Stegostoma tigrinum: one gene and its partners. The protein of the gene in region 2 purifies or fractionates together with the protein of the main gene of each other region. This does not show direct contact. Links are inferred from orthologs where the notes say so. Each region holds a gene or a part of one and is shown on either strand. Other genes may lie near its edges. The genes, in order: git1, serine/threonine-protein kinase PAK 2-like and git2a.

What was found.
Region 1: the proteins of serine/threonine-protein kinase PAK 2-like (region 2) and git1 purify together in Homo sapiens (affinity purification with mass spectrometry; 5 studies listed by BioGRID and IntAct, with this or other methods). This does not show direct contact. The link is inferred for Stegostoma tigrinum from reciprocal best matches to the Homo sapiens genes PAK2 and GIT1.
Region 3: the proteins of serine/threonine-protein kinase PAK 2-like (region 2) and git2a purify together in Homo sapiens (affinity purification with mass spectrometry; 3 studies listed by BioGRID and IntAct, with this or other methods). This does not show direct contact. The link is inferred for Stegostoma tigrinum from reciprocal best matches to the Homo sapiens genes PAK2 and GIT2.

What each region holds. Positions count from the first base shown.
Region 1 is NC_081380.1:31,329,746-31,336,709, reverse strand, and holds the start of git1 (ARF GTPase-activating protein GIT1), read right to left. Parts: upstream 3,101-6,964; 5' UTR 2,930-3,100; coding exon 2,878-2,929; intron 1-2,877. Other genes in the region: ankrd13b (ankyrin repeat domain-containing protein 13B), read left to right, coding at 4,004-4,102. UniProt on the Homo sapiens protein: GTPase-activating protein for ADP ribosylation factor family members, including ARF1.
Region 2 is NC_081367.1:6,528,676-6,536,402, reverse strand, and holds the start of serine/threonine-protein kinase PAK 2-like, read right to left. Parts: upstream 3,016-7,727; 5' UTR 2,796-3,015; intron 1-2,795. UniProt on the Homo sapiens protein: Serine/threonine protein kinase that plays a role in a variety of different signaling pathways including cytoskeleton regulation, cell motility, cell cycle progression, apoptosis or proliferation.
Region 3 is NC_081379.1:12,955,031-12,963,024, forward strand, and holds the start of git2a (ARF GTPase-activating protein GIT2a), read right to left. Parts: upstream 3,015-7,994; 5' UTR 2,808-3,014; coding exon 2,756-2,807; intron 1-2,755. Other genes in the region: ankrd13a (ankyrin repeat domain-containing protein 13A), read left to right, coding at 3,669-3,761. UniProt on the Homo sapiens protein: GTPase-activating protein for ADP ribosylation factor family members, including ARF1.

The DNA of each region.
Region 1 (6,964 bases), on a different chromosome or scaffold from region 2:
TACATACGAGATAGAGGTCTATGCCAAGAACCAATGGTGAATTTAGTCCATAAAGTCTTTTAAAATTAGGCAGCTACTTGAAAAAGGAAAATAATAAAAGATGCATGAGGAAGTAGATGTGGAAATTAGACCAAGTCGTTTAAATAGCAAGAGTAATCAGTACAGACTTAATTGGGCAAGTAACCCACATTATAAAATTAAGATTTTAAGTATACTTCACAGAATGGAGGCCTATAATTCATTACACTTTTGATCAAAGGTTTAAGCGACCAGTGAATCAACAGATGAAATTCTCCAACAATAAGGACTTGGGCTTCATTTCTTTTTCCTGAAAGCCAGGTTTATTTTTCATAATATGACTACAAGTAATGAGACAACGGCTTGCAATTGCCCAACTGGAAATGCTTCACTGGATCATGTGTTCAAATCTATGTTATTCCAGATAGTGCAATGGCTCAGAGGTTATTGTATTGTATTATATGATATTATAAATTGTCTGCAGTGTCGAGGGATGTTTGGGCTAGGTGGATTTGCCCTGGTAAATGTGGAGTTATGGAAATAGGTTGGTGGGATGCTTTTTGGAGGGTCAGTGTAGATTCAATGGGCTGAATGGCCTTTTTTGGCACTGTATGGATTCTATGATTAAAAAGTGTAAGATGTATAAACTAGTTGTTAGGAAACAAGACATTTTAATGATATTTGGAAATAAACTTTAATAGCCCACAGCTAGTATAATCTCTTCAGAGGGTCAGTGTGGACTTGATGGGCTAAATGCTCTGGTTACACTTTCCTCCCCAGTGTTTGATGTAATCCACACTGCTTACAGCTATGTCCTTTTCAACTCCAAATATTTGTGTAGGTGTGCAACTACATCTCTTGCTTAACACACACACTTGGCCTGGAGGATATCTGAATTTCTCGCCCTTCTTGGAGACAATGGTTTTGATTTCGAGATGTTTAAAAATATTTTGATAAATTTATGTTAATTTCCTCTGTTTGATGCGTGACAGAACTCCAAAATGGAATATTACTAACGATTCTCCCATCCACTCCAATTGTCTATAACATGAATAATCAAAAAACTTTCTTCCTCCACATCCCCAACATTTAGTTGTAAGTGCTCCCATCTTCCATCAAAAAGTCACTCAAATACAAATAATTTACATATAAAACAGGACAATATGTAACAATATTTTCCATAGCAAATGTTTTCAAATCACACATCTCAACTTAAAAACACAAAAGACAGTCTCAGGATGTGCAGTGAGTGCTTGGAATTAATAGAAAACTTGACATAAGCTTTAATTTTAAAAATGCATTAACAGAACATCGCACATTATTGTTCATAATTACTCTGACTTTAAAAACTGTAAAAATAGTTAAAAGATGCATAAGACCAGCATACAAAGCTCAAAGCAGTAGATGTCACGCCATCAATAACAAGTTTTTTAAAAAAAGAGATCTTATAAACCTACATCATAAGCTCTCCTTTCGGCTTTTCACAAATTCACTATTTTACAACTGTACTAAGTAGTCCCAACTGCATAATTTCCCCTATCCACTGCAGTCAACTACTGGGGCAGCACCTTGGATAGGAACATGCGCAACACTGGACCCTCTTCTTAGCGCTAGATTAACATGATGGTTGACAGCAAGACCATTCAAGTGTGTAGTTTATTTTTGAATACCAAATATGCACAGAGATGATACCAAACACAAATAACCTCAAGAAATAAGTGAGTTGATTTCATTTTTACAGGGTTAAAAGAAAACAGAAATAACATTCAACTGTCAAAATTACCATAAAACTTCAGAATTCAAACATGTGTCATGAGAAAGCCAACATGATTTATAATCTATTATATTGTGTAAACTTCAAATTTTGAATTATAGCTAAAGATAAACATAATATTCAATTGGCATAATCACAATTACTGCAAACTCCCTTTTAAAAGTATACAGCTCACTCCAACAGATTTGATGTGTGCCAAATTAGATCTGATATCTCCTACAAACTTAAATCACAGCTCAGCTGGCAGACAATCAACTTGCAATTGTGCCTCCGCTGTTATGTAACTCAGTGAATATCGCAAAATAGAACACTTCAAAATGGACCGAATCCTATTTTTGATCTATATGCGAATAATTAGAAATCCACCTCAAATGAAAAGTGAAACAGATGGCTAAGTTTTCGGGTCAGATCGTTTTGAATCAATAAATCAGATACCAATGAAAAGTTTTACACATCAATTAAGACTCTCAGTAGAGTAGAATCAAAGTCGTTGCATACAGCAATTCGATCACAAAGAATCACTGGTTTCTTAGGGATGGCATCGCGAGTTCATCAAACCGGTTACTGTGTCCGGTTTATCACTGGTCAGCCTTGGGACAATAGCCAATACTGCAACCGGGAACTTGACGTTTCCAAACAAGACTTTCACAAGTGGCCACTAAACACTTGGGAAGGAAGAGGCAAGCACACACGCGCGCGCGCGCACACACACACACACACACACACGCAGCCCAAGCCGAAATGGACCATCCTCTCCACATGTAACGACACAGGATTCTCAGTTCAGTTTCCAATCCCCGGCACAAATGGCTGACCGAAAACCCACCGCCTGGCAACCGGTGCCAGGGATTGGGTGCTGACTGCCGACCGCTGACCGACCGACTGACCTGACAGGCCCCAAATCAGAGCAACCACCACCTCCTCCCTAACACCCCCAAACCGTATTGCCCCACGGACCCCGTCGTCCTGTAGAAGCAAATGGGGAGGGGGTTGGTGGGGGGGTGGGGAAGGGGTTCGGGCTGATTCCCCGGGCTCCCGAATTGACCACCACTCTCTTTCTCATCCCCATTCACCGAGTCACGTACCTGACGCGCTGCAGTCGGCGCACACTTCGTTGGGCCGCAGCTTTCGGGACATTTCTGCTCTCCTCGATGATGATGATGATGATTCTCCCGGTCTCTGCTAATTTATTCCCAGCGCTCACCTCCTCCCCTTACCCCAAACCCCGCTACCTCTCCAGCCCCTCCTCCGACACCGCCAGGTCTCCAAATCTCTCAGGGCCAGTGTGTTTAGCGCAGACGCATCCGGTTCGAGACAAGTTACTGGAAAACCGCAGCTTTCCCCCGCCCGCCCCCATTCCCAGAGCAACCAGGAAATGACGACAAGACCCGGCCCGCGCAGCGCAGCCCAACCTGCTGCTGGTGGGATTCCCAGCGCCGTCACCTGACTGGCAGCAGGCTTGCCCAATAGACAAGCCGCTGCTTCCCAATTACGTCACCGCAGGCCAATCAGCCCTCATCAGCCGCTAAGTTTGGTAGACACTGGGCGAAGGAACGAGCACCAACAGGAGGCGGGACGTGGAGGCGGTAACCCGCCTCAAGGTGTGCTGGGATTTGTAGTTCTCGCCGGTTAGCTGGTGCGAGGGTGATGTCATTGCCCAGAACGGAGCACTTTCAGTTGCCTACCCATATTCATACATATTAAAATTATTTCCCCGGAATTGGTCAAAAACATGTAGCTCATTTTAAATTGCAAATTCCCACTAATATTTATCACCTCAACGGACGAACTACAGCTCCCAGGAGGTTTTAAAACAGCGCATCTCCAATATTATAGATAATGGGGTTGGTAATAAATTTAAATGCGCAACTACTGCATTTTCTCACTAATTGGTACTCATGATGAACGGAAAAAAATCAGTAGTACATGCTAATTGGCCACGTTGTAGATTTTCTTTATATTATTTGAAATCTACGCTCCATACGTATTTTCAACCTGCATATTTCCCCCACAGTAACTTGGTAATTCCTCACCCTTCGATTTTCTCCTACTTCCTCTTTTCCCACACAGTTAAAGCAAGAATTACAGCGCTTCCTATCGTCCGATATTCAGCTGCCGAGCAATATAGGGATTGGTGCCTGTTGCCAGGGGTTTGACTATCTGCTGCAAAGGTAGTTTGCATGTTATCTGGAAGAGAAGAATGATATCAGAATGATTTCTGCGAGAAGGGTGGCAGAAAAATATCCGTTGCATTATTTGGTTTGGCATAATAGATACAAGGATCTGGAAAAGGAACTTAGCACCAAGCAGGTGGGTGATGTGTGTGTGTATGTGTATTTATGGGGTGGTGCAATGCAAGTGGAATTGACTAAATGCTATCAGATGCAGGAACATAGACAAGTCGCTGTTTAATTATAAATCGGAAATTAAATGCTGTCAGTCGGAAGAATTGGAGATAATCTATTTTTTTCTACATTAAAAATATTCTTGGATCCGAATTGTGACCATATCCGTTTTCGTGCATTAGGTTGGATGGAATTGTGCTAGTGCCGTACAATTAGCTGATTCCTTCGTTGGGTTATGTATTGTTTAAATATGCTTCTTCCAATAAGGATTAAAAATCATGATCGCGAAGTTTTCATTATATATTGACTTTTAGTCTTTATTTTCTTCGGTCACTTAAAGACGAAATGTGTGGTTACTATTCTCCGCTTACTATCTTATATGGAAATGAGGCATCCATAGTAATACGGGAACCATATGTGTTCTGTAGTGGAAAGAAGATTATGCCAAGTGCTTTAAAATATTCCCGTAAATCCTGATGCCCATTTTAACACCCAAAACGAAATCCTGAAATGGGTTCCAATATCAGTCGGTCTCCAAAAGGAAGTTGCCATATTGTGTGTGTGTGTGTATGTATGAAAAGAAAAGCATGTTGGTCTGTCAAAATAAATGTTCTGTGGAAGTAAGGCAACTACAAGCTCACAGATTGGGTTCAAAATAAACCGCAAACTAAAAGACCCTGGTTTAATTATCTCACATAAACTTCTTTTGAGAAGATCTGGAATTTCAATTTAGTTCCAAACTGTGCAGATACAAAAAATATTTTCGTAGGGTTGCACCTGTTTCCTATCAAATTGATAAATATCGTTCAAGGTTCTGTCGTGCTGTCTGATGTAGCTTTCCGGCTAGAATCAAACGATGTTTGATGAATTGTAAGAAACCTTTCGAGTCTGGATGTCGTTTTAGCATAGTTTCTCCGGTGTACAATGGCTCCGACCGACACTTGATACAAGAGGCCAGAAAAAAGGATGGGACTGTCATCTCTGTGGCTGCACGCTTTAAAGAGCTGAATGCACAGTTAATCACACAGGCGCCAACCATTCCGCGCCCGGCACACTGAAACATCGCTTTTCCAAGCATGGTCTCTATGTCAAACCAATCTGATTGATTTTTGAGACAGTGGAAATTTGTTACGTGGTGTAGAAATGAAAAGCAACAGGGAAATTAGTGTATTCATTAAAATGTCAGTATCACATTATTTTATTCAACCGCCATGTCAAATAATTGTTAGAAAAAGCAATAAAGAATATTCGACAGATGTTAGCGAGATAAAGTCAGTAATATAAACCGAACCTCTTTAACCAGAATTGTCCGTCCCCATATGCAGACTCAGCTCAGATTTTATACATTTAAAAAAAAGACTGGATGCAGTGAGTTCACAAAACCTATGTGAATAAGCACATTGTTCGGTTTGTGCTGTAAGTTCCAATTTTTGGGTGATGGGTGATCAGTAATCAGAAACTAAACAGGTCAGGCAGCCTCCGTGCAGCGGAATTAACACGGCCCTCTCCAGAATTTTGGTGAAAGGTCATCGACCTGAAAGGGTCACTGTTTGTCTCCAAAGGCTGCCTTACCCGCTGAGATTTTCCAGTTTTTTTCCCGTGCTCACTTCGCATTTCCAGTATTTTACGTTTGTGCCAGAAACGGTAAGATTGGGAGTCACAAGACACAATACTGGTCTTCCTTCCCGTTTAGAAGTTGGTTTTTACTTGAACTTGAATTGTTGAAATCAGGCGCAGAACTATTCCATCTCTCTTGAGCGAGTTCCGATTTACACCGAGGCGGAGTCTGAGTAAACGGTTACAGCACAAAATACAGCCTTCGTGACCAGGAAACTGTTCTCATGCTAAGGTGCTGAATGCAACTGACATTCCCTTGTGATCATATTGGAGCTGTGGGCACGGTAGTAACTGGCTACCATTTGGGAATCAATAAAACAAAACTGTTTTTACCCTTTTTGGAAAAGACCAAATCACCCCACCCTAAAAGTAGCCGAAGCCTTTGGAAGGGCTCCGCTGCTTGTGATGTGCAGCAAATGCATCTCCGCATTCTTCCGACCCGTTCTGTTGCAACTTGTAAGGGCAACTGTGACGGTAAAGTGGAAGTAGCACACACCGACCCTCTTGCTGGCCTGGCCTCCCGCCACAATCCGCAACTGACAGGTGAAAATACAGGAGGTCAACATGACTCTGGACCGGAAATGCAGCAAACGGAGCAAAACACGTTTCACGCATCCTTTATAGAACTGGGAGAAAAGCCGCTGGCACACGGTGTCACTGAATGGGGCTTTAGCTATATGCAGGAACTAGAGGACGCTCAGTGTATTCCGAGAATGCACAAAGTCTGAAATACTGCAAGCAATTACTAGGACAGAGTTGGGAACGATTATGTTAGGAATTGGGTGTACAAAGCCTCCGGTAAATGGAGTGAGAATGCAGAGTTCGAGATGAGGTTGGGGGCGGGGGTGGTTTGTGGCGGGATTCTGAATTTCTCACGGCTGGCGATGACCGGGTCCGATCTGAAACAGCCACAACACCGTGATGGTTTCGTCTATCTCCCTGAAAACGGGGGTCTACCTCAATCAGTTTGCATCAGCGTTCTTGTACGACGCGTGTGAGCTTGTGTAGCATTGCAAAATATGTTCCAAATCGCGGTTTCTGCTGTAAAAAAAACAGAAAAAGAGGGGCAAACAGCGGCCAGTTCCTTACCATTGAAGCCCAAGTTAGATCGGGGTGTCTATCAATAATCCAGCCAGCCCCTGTCCATATAGCCCCCATTTGGCCGATAATTGTAACAAATGTATCACGCAGACAAGATAATCGATTAGCA
Region 2 (7,727 bases):
ATGTGCTGTTTCATTCATTACTGGCAACTCTCTCAACGCAAGTGGTGGTGTTAAAATCATTGCTTACAGGACCTGAGCACACAGAGGTGCATTACTGCAGCATTTTCACAGAAGTGCTGAGAAACAGAATTTCCATCAGCAAACATTTGCTGTCAACTTTGTGATTTTAAAAGTGGCATCTATCCACTACATTTTGTTTAATTTTAAAATAATAAAAGGATGAATAGATCACAGCCAGACAAATGTCACAAATATTTTCCCTCAAAATCCAATTGAGAATTCTCAAAGCCACCTGTGCTTCACACAGTTTACAATTTCAGGCAGACCGAGGACTGGGCCTTGCGGTGCGCTCACTAACTGAGGCACTGCTTGCATTTTAGACAACCAGTTATCAAACTGGAGTCTTCCAAACACACCGTGCAACAATTGAAGACAGATGAACACAAGAATGAATACAAGTAACAAGGTGCTGGAAGTAAAATTCTTGAACAGCAACTTGGCTCAGTCCACACAACTCTCACTGTACCAGGACTTCATGAGTTCAAGTCCCACTACTTTAGTGTCAAGGATACTTTACTGTCAAGGATATTGATATTCCAACAAGACGTTAAACCAAGCTCTACTGATCCTATTCAACACATCCTGGAGAATAGCTGTCTCAATCAACATCACCAAGACAAACGGTCAATGAGATCAATGATAACAAAGTGTGGAGCTGGATGAACACAGCAGGCCAAGCAGCATCTTAGGAGCACAAAAGCTGATGTTTCCGGCCTATTATCTCTGATCACAATTTTAGCCTCACTGCAAAGCCTCTTCCAGGGATGCCTAACCTGAAGAAGTTACCCTCCTCCCACCGGACCAACCTCAGGGATCCATCTTCGGTCCGCCTCCCCCTCTCTCCCTATTTATTTCAGAACCCTCTCCCCATTCCCCTCTCTGATGAAGGGTCTAGGCCTGAAACGTCAGCTTTTGTGTTCCTAAGATGCTGCTTGGCCTGCTGTGCTCATCCAGCCTCACACTTTGTTGTCAATGAGATCAATGTTGTCTTTCTCATAGCAGTAGCCCCTTTGAAGTTTTCACTGGGGCTGGAAGTGTACGCAAGGCACTATCGTCACATAACGTAAATCGTTCTTTCAATATGACAAAACATTGTCTTATCCAATCTAATGTGACTTCAACACAATTTCATGAAAGGGAGTAGACGTGGGGATTTCAGCCCCTTCATTTTCACATCCTTGTATTCTGATAAGTAGTTTACGAAAATTTGAGGAACTAAACCAAAGTAAAACAGAGCAGGTTCAGGCCCGTATATCCTGCTTGGAATGTAGTAAATATTCAAGTCTTGACTGAACATGAACTGACTGCTTTGCTCCATCTGTGACAATACCAGTGCAGCTGCTGCTACTGCAAAATTACAGTCCTGTTTAACAGGTCAAGTGCTTTACATACAACATGTCACCTTTGTACCAGTGACTGTCAGACCGACAGGGGTCAGTCTGCCTCAAAAGAATGCATTTACATGTTGTCTATTGAAAAATCCTAATCATCTTGCAGTTTTAATTAAAATAATGTTTCTTGATAAAATCAACACCTCCTGAATTCACACAAGTACTTCAGAGACAATATTTCAGACGGTGTGTCAAATTACACTAATCAGATCAAATGAACTCAATATTCTGATTAAATATCACGAACATTTCACATCTACTACACACACAGACAACTCTGGAGTACCATATTAACCACTTCCCTCAGAGACAGAATTCTGGTCGCTTGCCACAATTTTCAGCACAAGACTCTAATATAGCCATCTCTTCTTATTCAGAAATGAGCAGTTGCGCTACACTGTTGCACTTCCGCTCAAAAGTTTCCCAGTGCTAGAGCGTCAGGAAATGGTAGAGACTGATCCTATTCTGGTTTGAAAGTATAAATATCTAAACTTCAAAAATTGTTTCCCAAGACTAAGGCAGTAATATATACATTACAAGATTTCCCCAGACTTCCACATACTTTCTCCTGAACTAATTCAATTCCTCTCCCTTGTCAAGATACATCATCACAATTTGTCACCAATTCTGAGATCCCTACTCAGCTTCCCCTGCACAAAGCTCACCAGAATATCCTCACTGCTTAGGAGACCCTCTTCCAGTTCTAAAATCCACACACATTATTTTCATCTTCCACACACAAAAAAAATACTTACCCTAACCTAAAGATGCCCCCACACAATACCTACACCTTCACCGCCACCTCAGCTCAGCTCAAAATACATCATCACGTCTAAATCAGACATCAAGCACAAACTTCCTCATCCTTTCAAAAAACCCCAGTCCCTCCCACTCACCTGTGCTTCATTCTCTCCCATTTGACAAACACCCCACATTCATCATCCGAACATAACCCCTCGCTAACCCCCTTGACCCTCCCCCAATTTTAACCCCACACCTGAATCCGCTTTGCACTCCTTGCCAGATTCCCCCGAATCCTCACCAACACCTCCTTCCCCTGATTTCCCCCATTCTCACCCGACCCCCTTTCACTTCCAAAACCCCTATTCCCCCTTCGCCCCCAACCATTCCCACCTCTATCCCTCACTCCGCCTTCATTCCCACCGGAAATTCCTCTTCCACCCACCTCCCCAAAGCAGCTCCCAGATACCAGGCCCTCTATTTCCCACCCTGGCCCCAGGTTTCTCCGTGAGCGGCAGGGATTTTAAACTGAAAATGCGGCAGGTGCGGGTCCAGGGGTCAAGGAGGTAGCTGGCCAGCGGGCGGGCAGAGGCCTACACTCACCCGGACTGCAGCGCTGGGTCTCCGGCGGTAGGGGCCGTGCAGCCTGGGGGCTTTCCCCCGCCCCCGCCGCGGGGCGGACAGGGACACACAGAGAGGGAGGGAAGCGGAAGTGAAGCCCGGCCCCGGCCTAGGAGCGACAGCGGCAAGGGTCGGAGGACGGGGTGGGGGAGTGGGCAGGACCGAAAGGGGCCCGTCCCAATCACCGGCTCCTCCTTCTCCCACCGCGGCCGCTTGTTCCCTTCCCCAAGCCACTGACTCCCCCCGGTTCACGCCGGGATTTGTAGTCCAGGGCCTCGGAGGAGACGTGGATAGCAGGCCGAATGGCGTCCGGGATCTCACCAGGCTGGACTACACTTCCCGGCATGCACGGCGGCCTGCTGCCTGATGGGATAGAAACCCCGTCTTCCGAGCTGCTGGAGGACTTCTCCGGGAGGCACCGGTGCTGTTACTGTTACCATGGGAACACAGCGTTGACTCTGTTGCTAAGCAGGGAAGAGGGCGGCGGAGCTGGTGCTGATTAATTCTCACTTATTGAGAGACCCTCCCTCCCCTCAGAATGGCTCCAGGAACCCAAATTATTACAGAATGCATGCAAATGGAAGAAAATCATGGGAAAGCTGCCTCCTGAGTTATCTGACTCTTGCCTGGAGGTGATGCTGGAAGCAGCAAGGGCCAGAGGAGAGATGCCCATTCCTCTGGATGGGAGCAAGAGGCCAACTGCTCCCCGCTCCACCAACAAAGAAAATAGGATCAGCATTAGGCCATTGAGCCCTTCAATCCTGTCCTGCCATTCAATATGGTCATGGCTGATCACCCTCAGTACTCTGCTCCCGCTTTCTCCCCATACTCTTTGATCTCTTGTGATGCAGTGGCTATATGCTGCAGATGCTGTCAGCAGCAGGAGTCTGGTGCTCAGCATCTGAACACAGTGGCAGAATCGGGGAAACCAAGTGGAGGCTTGGGGACGGCTTTACAGAACACCTATGCTCAGTTCGTGCTAAACAACTGCACCTCCCAGACATGAACCATTTCAACTCTTCCTCCCATTCCTCTGATGACATGTCCATCCTGGGCCTCCTGCAGTGCCACCCGAAGGTTGCAGGAACAGCACCTTATATTCCGCTTGGGAACCCTGCAACCCAATGGTATCAATGTGGACTTTACAAGCTTCAAGATCTCCCCTCCCCCTACTGCATCCCAAAACAAGCCCAGCTTGTCCCCGCGTCCCTAACCTGTCCTTCCTCCCACCTATACCCTTGTCCCACCTCAAGCCGCACCCCCATCTCCTACCCAATAACCTCAACCCGCCCCCTTGACCTGTCCATCCTCCCTGGACTGACCTATTCCTTCCCTAACTCCCCACCTACACGCACCTGTACTGGCTCCATCCCCGCCTCTTTGACCTGTCTGTCTCCTCTCCACCTATCTTCTCCTCTATCCATCTTCTATCCGCCTCCCCCTCTCTCCCTATTTATTTCAGACCCCCTTCCCCTCCCCCATTTCTGAAGAAGGGTCTAGGCCCGAAACATCAGCTTTCCTGCTCGTCTGATGCTACTTGGCCTGCTGTGTTCATCCAGCTCTATGCCTTGTTATCTCAGTGTTGGAACTTCCTGTTTGTGTTCATGACCTCCTTCGGCCAGGAAAGATTCTTGTCGTTGCCACTTTGACAGCGTCTTCCATCACCCAACCAGGTAGGTGTCCCTACCTCCTGGCTGGCAGATCTGAGTTCAGGCCCCATCTGAACCCTTAATGGCCAGTGAAAGTACATCAGAACATGGCCCAGCAGGTTGGTTATCAATATATAAATCTTTATGATTCGGTAAAAATAAATGTGCAAGTTTCCTGGCCAGCCAGAATCAGGTGCTAGCGACAGCACAAGCCTCCCCACGTTAAAAGACTCCATGCACAGGTTCTTACCAGGATTGAGTGTTTAGCCTTGCTGTGGAGGTCTACCACACACAAACATGCTCTCTGACTTTACCAGAATTATCCCTTCAGGCACTCCTCTGATGGACCAACCTTGCAGTTTCACACATTCCTTTCTCCCCAACTACCTCCTCAAATCTCCATCTCAGCAGCCAACATTCAGACCGTAATTAACCACACCCATCCTGGACAATTGCCCTCCACAAATGTTCTCATTCCATCCTTATCACAAATTCCAATTCTCACATTCATAACTCTCCACTTCAGAGGTGAAAGTAAGTTTTGAAATTTGATTTGAGGTTACATTTTGACTTCCCGCTGCTGCTGGTATCTCTTCCAGCCAGGAGGTATGTTGTTGTTGTGGTATGTTGTGCTCCCCTCACATCCAACTGTGGCTCATCAGCAACCACTCTGTTATTTCCCTCATTTAATTAGAGCTAGTTGAACAGCTATTTCTGCAATTCTCAGCCTTGCCTGAGGAAAGACATTTCTGCAGCTTTCCAGCTCTGACCAAATACCAAAACACTAACAGTTTTTGTTTTCTGGATGCCATTTTTAGACTCCTTTTTGCACTCATGATTTCAAGGACCTCTTAATGACTGTAGTCTGCATTTGGAACTTTTTAGCATGTATCTTTGCACCCACCTTTCAAAGGTTTCCATTTTCTCCCCATGCATTTTTCTAATTGTTTGGGTTTCCGATGCATACAGGAAAGTGGATAGAATCTAGCATTTTATTTTCTTGCTACATATCTGAAAATTGTACATTTCCACCGACCCATAACATTTCACCGCCTTACTATTCAAGTACTACTTATCTCTGCCTCATGGTATTTAAAGGCTATTTTCTTATATTTAAGTATGTATTTAATTTTATTTTATATTTTAGATATTTTATACTGAGTTTTAATCAGAAAGAGAGTTAAGGGTTTTGGGGAAATGCAGAAAACTGGAGATGAGGATTATCAGATCAGCCATGATCTTGTTAAATAGTGTAGCGAACTCAATGGGCTGAATGGGCAGAATGAATCTACCCTACACCTTGTGTTCTTATGACCTTACCTGAAATGACAAAGGTTTTATTAGTTAGCTCTGCTACTCGGCACTTTTTAGAGATCATTTCTATTAGTCACTAATTTATTCAAATTATTGCTTTGGAATTTTGTTTCAAATTCATGTTTAGTATTTATGACTTTATCTGCCCAAAATTTGTTAGCTGGCCCTGTATGAGAGATAAATGGAAAGATAGTTCCTCATACAAAACAATTGGAAATCCCTGATATGTTTGTGTGAAGACCCCAAACATTTGGCATTAGCTAAAGACAAAGATGACACAAAGCTAGGTAGGAAAATATGTCAAAAGAACATAAAGAGACTACGAAGGGATTTAGTCAGGTAAGTGAGTGGACAAAAACTTTCGAAATCAAATTGGCAAAGATGGCCTGTAGGATGTGTTCCTGGAATAGTTTCAAAGACAATACACACTGGAAGCTACAAGGGAACAACTTTATCAATTGGGAATGAAACAGAATAAATTAATGACCTTTACAGTAAAGGATGCCTTCGAGAGGAGTGAATAAGGCATGAAAGAATTTGAGATTCAGTTTGAGTGAGAACTGCAGGTCCATAACAAATCTTTGGATAAAGGCAGAAGGATGTCCAAACAGTTAGCGAAAGTCAATAGTCTTCAAGGTTAAAGATAAAAAGTCACCCCATGAATATTAGAAAATCAATCAGCAAAATGAAGGAAGTGAAAGAAAACAGTCACCAAAAAAGCACAGGAAAAGCAACAGAAATCAAACACACTGACAAGTCCACTGGATCTGATTGTCTGCATTCTGTGGAATAAATGAAACTAGCGACAGAGAAATGGTAAATGCATTGGTTGTAATCTTCCAAAATTCCCTAGATTCTGGAACAGACCCAGCCCAGTGGAAAACCAGAAAATACACCTATGTCCAAGAAAGGAGAAAGACAAAGAAATGATAGATTAGTTACTCCAATGTCTGGCATTAGGAAAATGCTACAATTCACTACAAAGTAGGTAGTGGAAGGACAATCTGAAATTAATACTATCAAGGAGAGTAAATATGGTTTTGTGAAAGAAAAATTTGATTGATATTTGCAGTAATGTCCTTTAAGAATGTAACAAGCGACATATTTAAAGGGGAACTAGTAGCTGTAGTGTATTTGGATTTCTGAAAGGCATTTGATAAAATCACTGCATGAAAGCCAACCACAAAAGGTAAGCATTCATGGTGTTCAGGGTGTTTAGCATGTGTAGAGAATGAACTAAGAAGATAAAAGTGGTTGAGATAAATGTGTCATTAGTATGATGACAAACTGTAACTAGCAGAATACCACAGGGATCAGTACGAGAAACTGACTATTCACCATCTATGTCCGTGACTTTGTTAAAGGGACTGACTGTTTTGTAGCCAATTCTGCTGATAATACAAAGATAAGTTGGGAATTAAATCTACAAAGAATGGGGAGTCAGAAATTATCAGATATAATGCAATGTGGGAAAATGTGAGGTCATCCAATTTGGCAGAAATAGAAAAGCAGACTATTATTTAAGGCAGAGAGACACTGCAGACTTCTTATATATATCACAAATAATCAGCCACCAAGTGCAGCATGTCATTCGGAACACAATGGATTTTAGGCTTCGGCACCCTTGTGACACATTGGTAGATCTCTACCTCTGAGTCAGGTGGCCTAGGTTCAGATCCCACCACTCCAGAGGTGTTACATCCCTGAACAAGTTGATGAGGCAAGTGTTTGGAATGTTGGCATTTATTACAAAAGGAGTGGAGAATACAGGTAGGGATGTCTTAAAACTGCAGAGGCCATGAGTGAAATCACATTGAGCACAACTCTGGTCAGCTTAAGGAGGGAACCCTACTTACACTGGAAGCAGGAGGAGAGTCACTTAGAAGATTTGCAGGATGAAGAGGTCTGTCTTATAAGGAGAGGTTGAGCAGAATGGGCTTGTTGGAGGTTA
Region 3 (7,994 bases), on a different chromosome or scaffold from region 2:
ATAAACACTATAAGGTATCTATGGACATTGGGACAGTTAATAGGGAGGCAATAAGCAATACAATCATAAAAGAGCAGTTTTCAGGAGACTTTCAGAAAGGTTACAAATGACTATGATCATAAAGCTGTACAGCATGTCCAACTCGGCCATGCCGTCCAGATATCCTAAATGAATCTGTTCCCATTTGCAGGCACTTGGCCCATATCCCTCTAAATCCATCCTATTTATATAACTATCCTGATGCCTCTTAGAAGTTGTAACTGTACCTGCCTCCACCACTTCCTCTGACAGGTCATTCCATGTATGCACCATTATCTGTGTGGAAAAGCTGCCCCTTAGGACCTTTTAAGTCTTTCCCCTTTCACCTTAAACCTATGCCCTCTAGTTTTGGACTCCCCTGCCCCAGGGAAAAGACCTTGACTATTCAACCTATCCATGCCCCTCATGATTTTACAAACCTCTATAAGGTCACTTCTCAGTCTCTGATGCTCCCAGGAAAATAGCCCCAGCCTATTCAGCCTCCCCCAACAGTTCAAACCGTCCATGCCTGGCAATATCCTTGTAAATCTTTTCTGAACCCTTTCAAGTTATACAAAATCCTTCCTATAGCAAGGAGACCAGAACTGAATGCAGTATTCCAGAAGTGGCCTAAGCAATGTCCTGTACAGCCGCAACATGACATCCCAACTCCTAATCTCAACGCACTGACCAATTGTAAAGACGTTTAGCCGAATGCACTGATTTCACATGAAAACGTGTTGCATACACTTTCAACTGAAACTTAGAAGGTAAAATCAATCTCTCTCCTTTGGTTAGTGTAGATTAACAATTCAAATGTAAGTCACATAAACATAAGAAAAACAGAAGTACATTTAAAAATAATAACCACATAAAATATAACACATTGTTATTGATAAGATCTTCATCGATTCATCTTTCTCCTTCAGCTGCTGGCTGGGCTGGCATGCTTTTTCAGCTTCTGTCATTTCACATTTCCAACATTCAGAGCATACTTTACTTGGAGATCTGGCATGGCCATATCATAGAACAACAATCTGCACTTACATATTGCATTTAATGTAATAAAAGGTCCCATGGTGCTTCACAACAAAATTTGACCAGACGTAGTACTAGGGCAGCTAGTGAATAGCTTGGTCAAAGAGATAGACTTTGCAGGCCACCTTCAAGGAGAAAGAAATAGAAGCAAGATTTGGGAAGGAATTTGAAAACTTAAGTGCCTTAGTAAAGGAAAGCAGAGTCAATAATGGCGCAGCAATTAAAATTGAAGATGCTTGAGGAGAAAATAAAATGAATGCAGTCTTCATGGAGGGCTGTGCATCAGAAGGGCATTAGACAGATATAGATGGGCAAAGACAAGGATAAAAAATTTAAAATTGAAATGTTGCTTGACTGGGAAACATTGTAGGTCAGCAAACATAGATGTGATCGTTAAACAGGACCCAAACAGGAGTAAGAACCTTGGGCAGCAGAGTTTTAGATAAACTTGAGTTTAGGGGGGTGTACAATATAGGAGGCAGAAATGCATTTGAACAGACCAGTCTTCAGTTAACAAGGGCATACAAGGGTCTCAGAAGTATTTAAATAAAAACAGGAACAAACCTAGCAATGTTTTGGAAGTGCAAACTCATTCTTAGCAAGGTGGTGGAAAAATATTTAAAGCTCATCTTGGAGTCAAATATGACACAGAGGCTCACGTAGTTTTCAAGGAGATATGGAGTCTGTAAACTAGGGAACAGTTTGCAGCAGGGAGCAAAGAAAATTACTTCTAAAATTCAGCGTGCAACAATTCTTCCATATTCTACCTTATTACTCAATGCTATGCATCATTATAGACCTAAAAGCAATTGCAAAATATTAGCTGCTCTCTACAAGTTACAATATTAAGTTCTGTAATTGTAAAGTCTTGACAAAGCTATCACAAGTTAACATACTACCAGCACAAAAATTACACTGCAATTGCTGAGGAAAAAAATGCTGTACCCTATTATAATGAAAATTACATCACTACAAAATAAATTGTTGAATTTCTAACTCATAAAAAATTACTCCATGTACAAAGAAACATTGAAGCAGCCATTGTACAAGGGATCACTGTAAATGCTGCTCCATTTAGAGGAATCCTCACCCACCAAAAAAAACACCAACTACAGAAGAAAAAGAATTGTCAAGTTTACAGAAAAATAAGTACAAATGAGCAAGTGAATAACAGAAGAGATATGCACAAAATCTACAAGTGGATGCATACAGTAAACTGTATTAACTCCGACAAGCAAACAGTAATACGGCATACTAATCAGTCTATGAAAGATTAGAACCCACAGCTTTAATATAAAAAATTGGTTAACAAACTAAAACTTGAATTGTGCAGACGGGATAGAGGCCACAAGTTTGAGGAAGTGGGTGCTACGAATGATTTTTATGCTGAAAATGTGCTGCTTTTTTTATAAAGAGAAAGGAAGAGCACGGTTGAAGGGAGTGGAATGAAAGAACACAAACCGGTTGCTGGATATTTCCTGGCTGCGTCCTAGTTGGCTTGCAGCGTTTCTGCATCTTTTAGCTCTCTCTCACTTCCTCCGTGTCTGTGCGCGTGTGTCAGACAGAACTGAAGCTTGTTTGAATTTCCTCTCCCAGTCCCAGTTAGCAGCACGATAAGTCTCAGCATTTTTAAACAAAAAGCATTTCTAAAGGGCCCTTCTTTTGCCCCCAGACCTTTACCTCCCCCACAATCACTTACCGGGGACGCTGCAGTCGGCGCAGATGTCGTTACTCCTCAATCTTTTCGACATGGACAGAGGCAGTTAACTAATAATGCCGTTTAATCGGGATCTTAAATAAAAACAAAAATCACACGACACACGCTAAAATTTAACGGGAGACGCGTTTTAATTCTAACTACAAACTGCCGTCAACATGAAGTTTGCACTCAGGTTACAGTTCCTGTCAGACTCGCCTCTGGCTCAAGCAGCTTGGAGACGTCGAATGGTATGCCGGGATCTTGGAGGACTGCCCGGGCGTCACGCATGCGTATACAAGCCAAACCAAACGCAGGCGTCGGAAGACGAGGAGCGCGAGGGGGGGAAAGCTGAAGTTATAAAAATGTGGTTTCCTGAACAGAAACTTTTCACACATTACTTTTCCCCCTTGCAAAATATTTTTTAATGTTACCAAATGCGACATCATGTTGAATGGAACATGTAGACCTGTCACTTTATTCGTGAGCCGAGAAAGTAATCAGCTAGTGTTTACCTGCCGATCCACTCGATACTTTAGTTTGGGCTGAACCACAATTAAAGGGAAGAGGAGGGGGGTTCCTGTAGTGTCGAAAATGGTTGATAGTGGAAAAAAGTGAAGCAAAGCATCAAGTCGTTCGACAAGTAATAATTTCACTATATCACTCTTATAAGCATACAGATCAGCAAATATGCCGACATTTATTGAAAAGGGTGCTAGTGTGCTTATTATAGACCCCTCCTCTAGGCTGGATGGATTGTATTTCCTTGTTGTCCATCTCTTCCTGTAAAGTTTTTTTGGAAAGTTTCAGAAGTTCTGTTGTTTTCTCTCCTCACCCTCCCGCTGTCCTCTTTTCACTTTAGAGGGAGGGGTTTATAGAGGAAAGGGCGGAGGTCGATTGAAGCTGAAGAACTAGGATGTGTTCATTGGAAGACGTCAAGAACAAATATAAACTTCACCTGTTGGTCTGGCGCAACCAGTATAGAGAAGTTGAGGAAGAACTGAAACAAGTAAGTCACTGATACTGGGCAAGGTTTTATTCAGCGTATGATTGCGCTTAGAAACGGTTTAAACTTCACAGTAGGTGGTGGAGAGCTTCCCTGAGATGATGTTTATAGGTGAAGATATTTAAAGTCTGTTACTGCTTTGAAGATCTAATTTTCTTCAGCCGAAAGAATCCAAAATCTTCACTAGTTCCAAAGCAACGTGTTTCCCCTTTCAGTTTAGTTAAATGGTTGAAATAGGGCGTGTTGTAAATGTTCCAAGGTATTCACACAGTTAATTTTAAACATTATTTAGTTGGAATCTTTTGAGGCTACCATAAGTGCAAAAAAACTCAAGGCAAAACTGAAAGAACTACTGTTTCCTCAAGTTAAATTGTTTAAGTTGGATTGGAATTTTTCAATATCTGATTTCAAGATTGGAGATGATTAGTTGATATGTGAGACCGACAGTTACCCTTGTCTTGATTTAATATAAAATATAGTTTTTTTCACAACAGGAAAGATGATGCACTGTTCGAGAGAGGAGCAAACTTGATAGTTTGAATTACCTTTACTCAATTTACATTGCATTATCTTGTCACTAAATAAATCTTTATAATTTTTATGCTTTATATATACTTTACAATGGTCAGAGTGAAGTGGGAAGGAAGAACAGTCACTAAAGTTGTAAGTTCCCTTCACCATGAGGACTGACATTTATAATTAGTTCTACTATATTATAATGTGACACCTATTTGTTACTGAAACAGATGGCAGAGTTTGCAAGTATAATTTCTTTTTAAATGTGTGCAATTGGTACTTCTGTATATTGTCTTATTAAAGATTATTTTATTATGACAATATACAAAAACATTAAATGATACATTTTTTCCTAATTTAGGCAGAGTAAAAGCTAGGGAATGTGTATTTCCTTTCTTGGTGGCGGTGGGGGGGAAATCAACACTTAAGGGGTCAAATCTGCATTTGCACGATTGTTTTGTTTCCCACAAATTTTCCCCATTCTAACTTTCCTTGGCCCTTTCAATAACTGGAGGGTTGAGGAATCAGTCCAAATTTGCAGTGAAGGCACTGAAGGAGAATATACTTTTTTGGTTTCACCATTTTTCCCCAGCTCTATCAGAAGGCACTGACAACTTCAACCTTTAGTTGAGAATTATACGGCATAGGGGGAGGCTGTTTCACCATCACACCCTTGCCAGCTTCCTGAAAGAGCTTTTAATGTTTTAGTACCCTGGATGTCATCGGCATTCCTGCAACGTTATTTTTCCTCCTTCAATTCTTTTTGGAAAGTTACTTTTGAATCTCTTCCACCATCCTTTCAAGCAGTGTGCCATGGATTATTACAACTTGTTGCATTTAGTAAAAAACTTTAAATCTCCTTTGGTTCATTTGCCAGATATATTAAATTTCAAACATGCCATTGGCATAAGAACTAGAATCAGGAGTAGACCATCTGGCCCCTCAAGCATGCCCTGCCATTTAATAAGATCATGGCTGATCTTTGAGACTCAGCTCTACTTACCTGCCCACTCACCATGACCCTTAATTCCTTTACATTTCAAAATTTTATCTAGCCTTGCCTGAAAAGCATTCAGCAAGGTGGCTTCAACCACTTCACTGGGCAGGGAATTCCACAGATTCACAACCCTTTGGGTGAAGAAGTTCCTCCTGACCTCAGTCCTACATCTGCTTCCCTTTATTTTGAGGCGATGCCCTCCAGTCCTAGTTTCACCTGCTAGCAGAAACAACCTCCCTGCCTCCACTTATATCTATTCCCTTCATAATCTTATATGTTTCTATAAGATCGCCCCTCGTTCTTCTGAATTCCACTGAGTATAATCCCAGTCTACTCAGTCTTTCCACATAATCCAACCCCCTCAACTCTGGAATCAACCAAGGGAATCTCCTCTGCACCCCCTCCAGTGCTAGTATATCCCTTCTCGAGTAAGGAGACCAAAACTGCACACAGTACTCCAGTTGTGGCCTCACCAGGACCCTATACAGCTGCAGCATAGCCTCTGTTTTTAAACTCCATCCCTTGAGCAATGACCAGACAAAATTCCATTTGCCTTTTTAATCACCTGCTGCACCTGCAATCCCACCTACAGCGATTTATGCACAAGGACACCCAAGTCCCTGTGCACAGCAGCGTGCTGCAATTTTTTACCATTTAAAAAGTAGCCCATTTTGCTGTTATTCTTACCAAAATGGATGACCTCACACTTATAAACATTGTACTCCATCTGCCAGACCTTTGCCCCCTCACTTCGACTATCCATATCCCTCTGTAGACTGTCTTCTGCACACTTTTCTCTACCACTCACTTTAGTGGCATCTGCAAATTTTGACACACCACACTTAGTCACCAACTCCAAATCATCTATGTAAGTTGTAAACAATTGAGGTGCCAACACTGATCCCTGAGGCACACCACTAGCCACCACCGCCAACCAGAAAAACACTCATTTACCCTGACTCTGCGTTCTATTGGTCGGTCAACCAAGCCTCTCTCCATGCCGATACATTACCTGTAATTCCATGCAACTTTATCTTATGTAGCAGCCTTTGGTGTGGCACCTTGTCAATGCCTTCTGGAAATCCAGATACACCACATCCACAGGTTCCCCATTGTCCACCATGCAAGTAATGTCCTCAAAGATTTCCACCAAATTAGTTAAACATGACCTACCCTTCATGAACCCACGCTGGGTGTTCCCAATGCGACAATTTATAGCCAGATGTCTCACTATTTCTTCCTTAGTGATAGATTCAAGCATTTTCCCCACGACCGAAGCTAAGCTAACTGGCCTAAAGTTACCGGTTATTTGTCTACTTCCTTTTTAAACAGTGGCATCACATTGGCTGCGGGAACTACCACAGAGCCCAGTGAATTTTGGTAAATAATTATGAGTGCATTTGCTATTTCCCCATCACCTGTTTATCAGGGCCAAGAGACTTGCCTACCTTTAGCCCCATTAGCTTGCCCAGCATTGCCTCCTGACTGATAATAGTTTCTAGGTCCTTACCTGCTGTAACCTTCTTGCCATTAGTTTTCGGCATGTTATTTGTGTCTTCCACTGTGAAGACTGACACAAAATAACTGTTTAATGTCTCGGCTATTTCCTCATTCCCAGTTAGTAAATTGTCCTTCTCATCCTCTCTTTTACGATTTACATATTTATAGAAACTTTTGCTGCCTGTTTTTATATTCTGAGCTAGTTTACTCTCATCATCTATCTTACTTTTCTTTAAAGGCCAACAGAAAGCCACAAAAAAAGTTAAAGATTTCCCAGTCTAAAATGAGAACTTTGATTTTAAAAACTGCTGCTTCTCACAGTTTGCCAAACTTAAAGCCAATTAAACAATTGCTATTGTGATACGTTATCTATGTAACTAAAGAAAATATACAACCATGACAATGACTGATAAAGAAAACAGGCTGCTGACAAATGTTTTGGTCTTGCTAAAGTGGTGGGGGCAGTAGCCTGCTCTCCTTTCTCCTTCTTGAATATTTTGCTCAGAGCCTGCCCCTGACTCATTAGCCAGCTTTAAAGTGATGCAAGGTTTCTTCCCTTCTTGCCCTCCTTAGTTCCCTGTGCGCACTCCTATGTTCTACCTTGCAATGCTTTTAGCACTTTCTGCCTAGTGTCCTACTGTGTGGATTTCACTTTCCCTGTTCAGCTGTGGGACTGTTTTACTGTCCCCAGGATGAACTAGGGTCACTGTCCTCTTCCTGTTCAACTGTGGGGCTCTTCACCATCCCCGGGGTGAACTAGTCTGTTGAACATCTGCCTCACACAGGACAACTCCCTTCTCTCCCTTCATTCTTTTAAATACTGCAGATTATAGCTGGGGCCAACTACGAGGTTTGTTAAGGGTGATATGTCAAACATATTCACTTAATTGACACTCACATAGTTGCAGTACCCACATTGCTGCAACAGTTGTTAGAGACGAGTCTTGAGTCCCGTGTTCAGCAGTACAAATCAATCTTTATTCAGAGAGTTTCCTACCACATATCCTGGAAGAGGTCACTGGAGACAGATTCCAAAATAAACCCCTCCAATAAAATACAGAATATTTGTACATTCCACATTAGAATGATTGCATGCAACGTTGACACCAGCACTTGCCACCTCCCCTCTGACTGTTATGCCCCTTCCTAGACATTTGCCAGCTGCATCATACTGACTGAGTGCTGATTGTTTATTTCCCCGAGAATATGAAGAAGTCATGTTG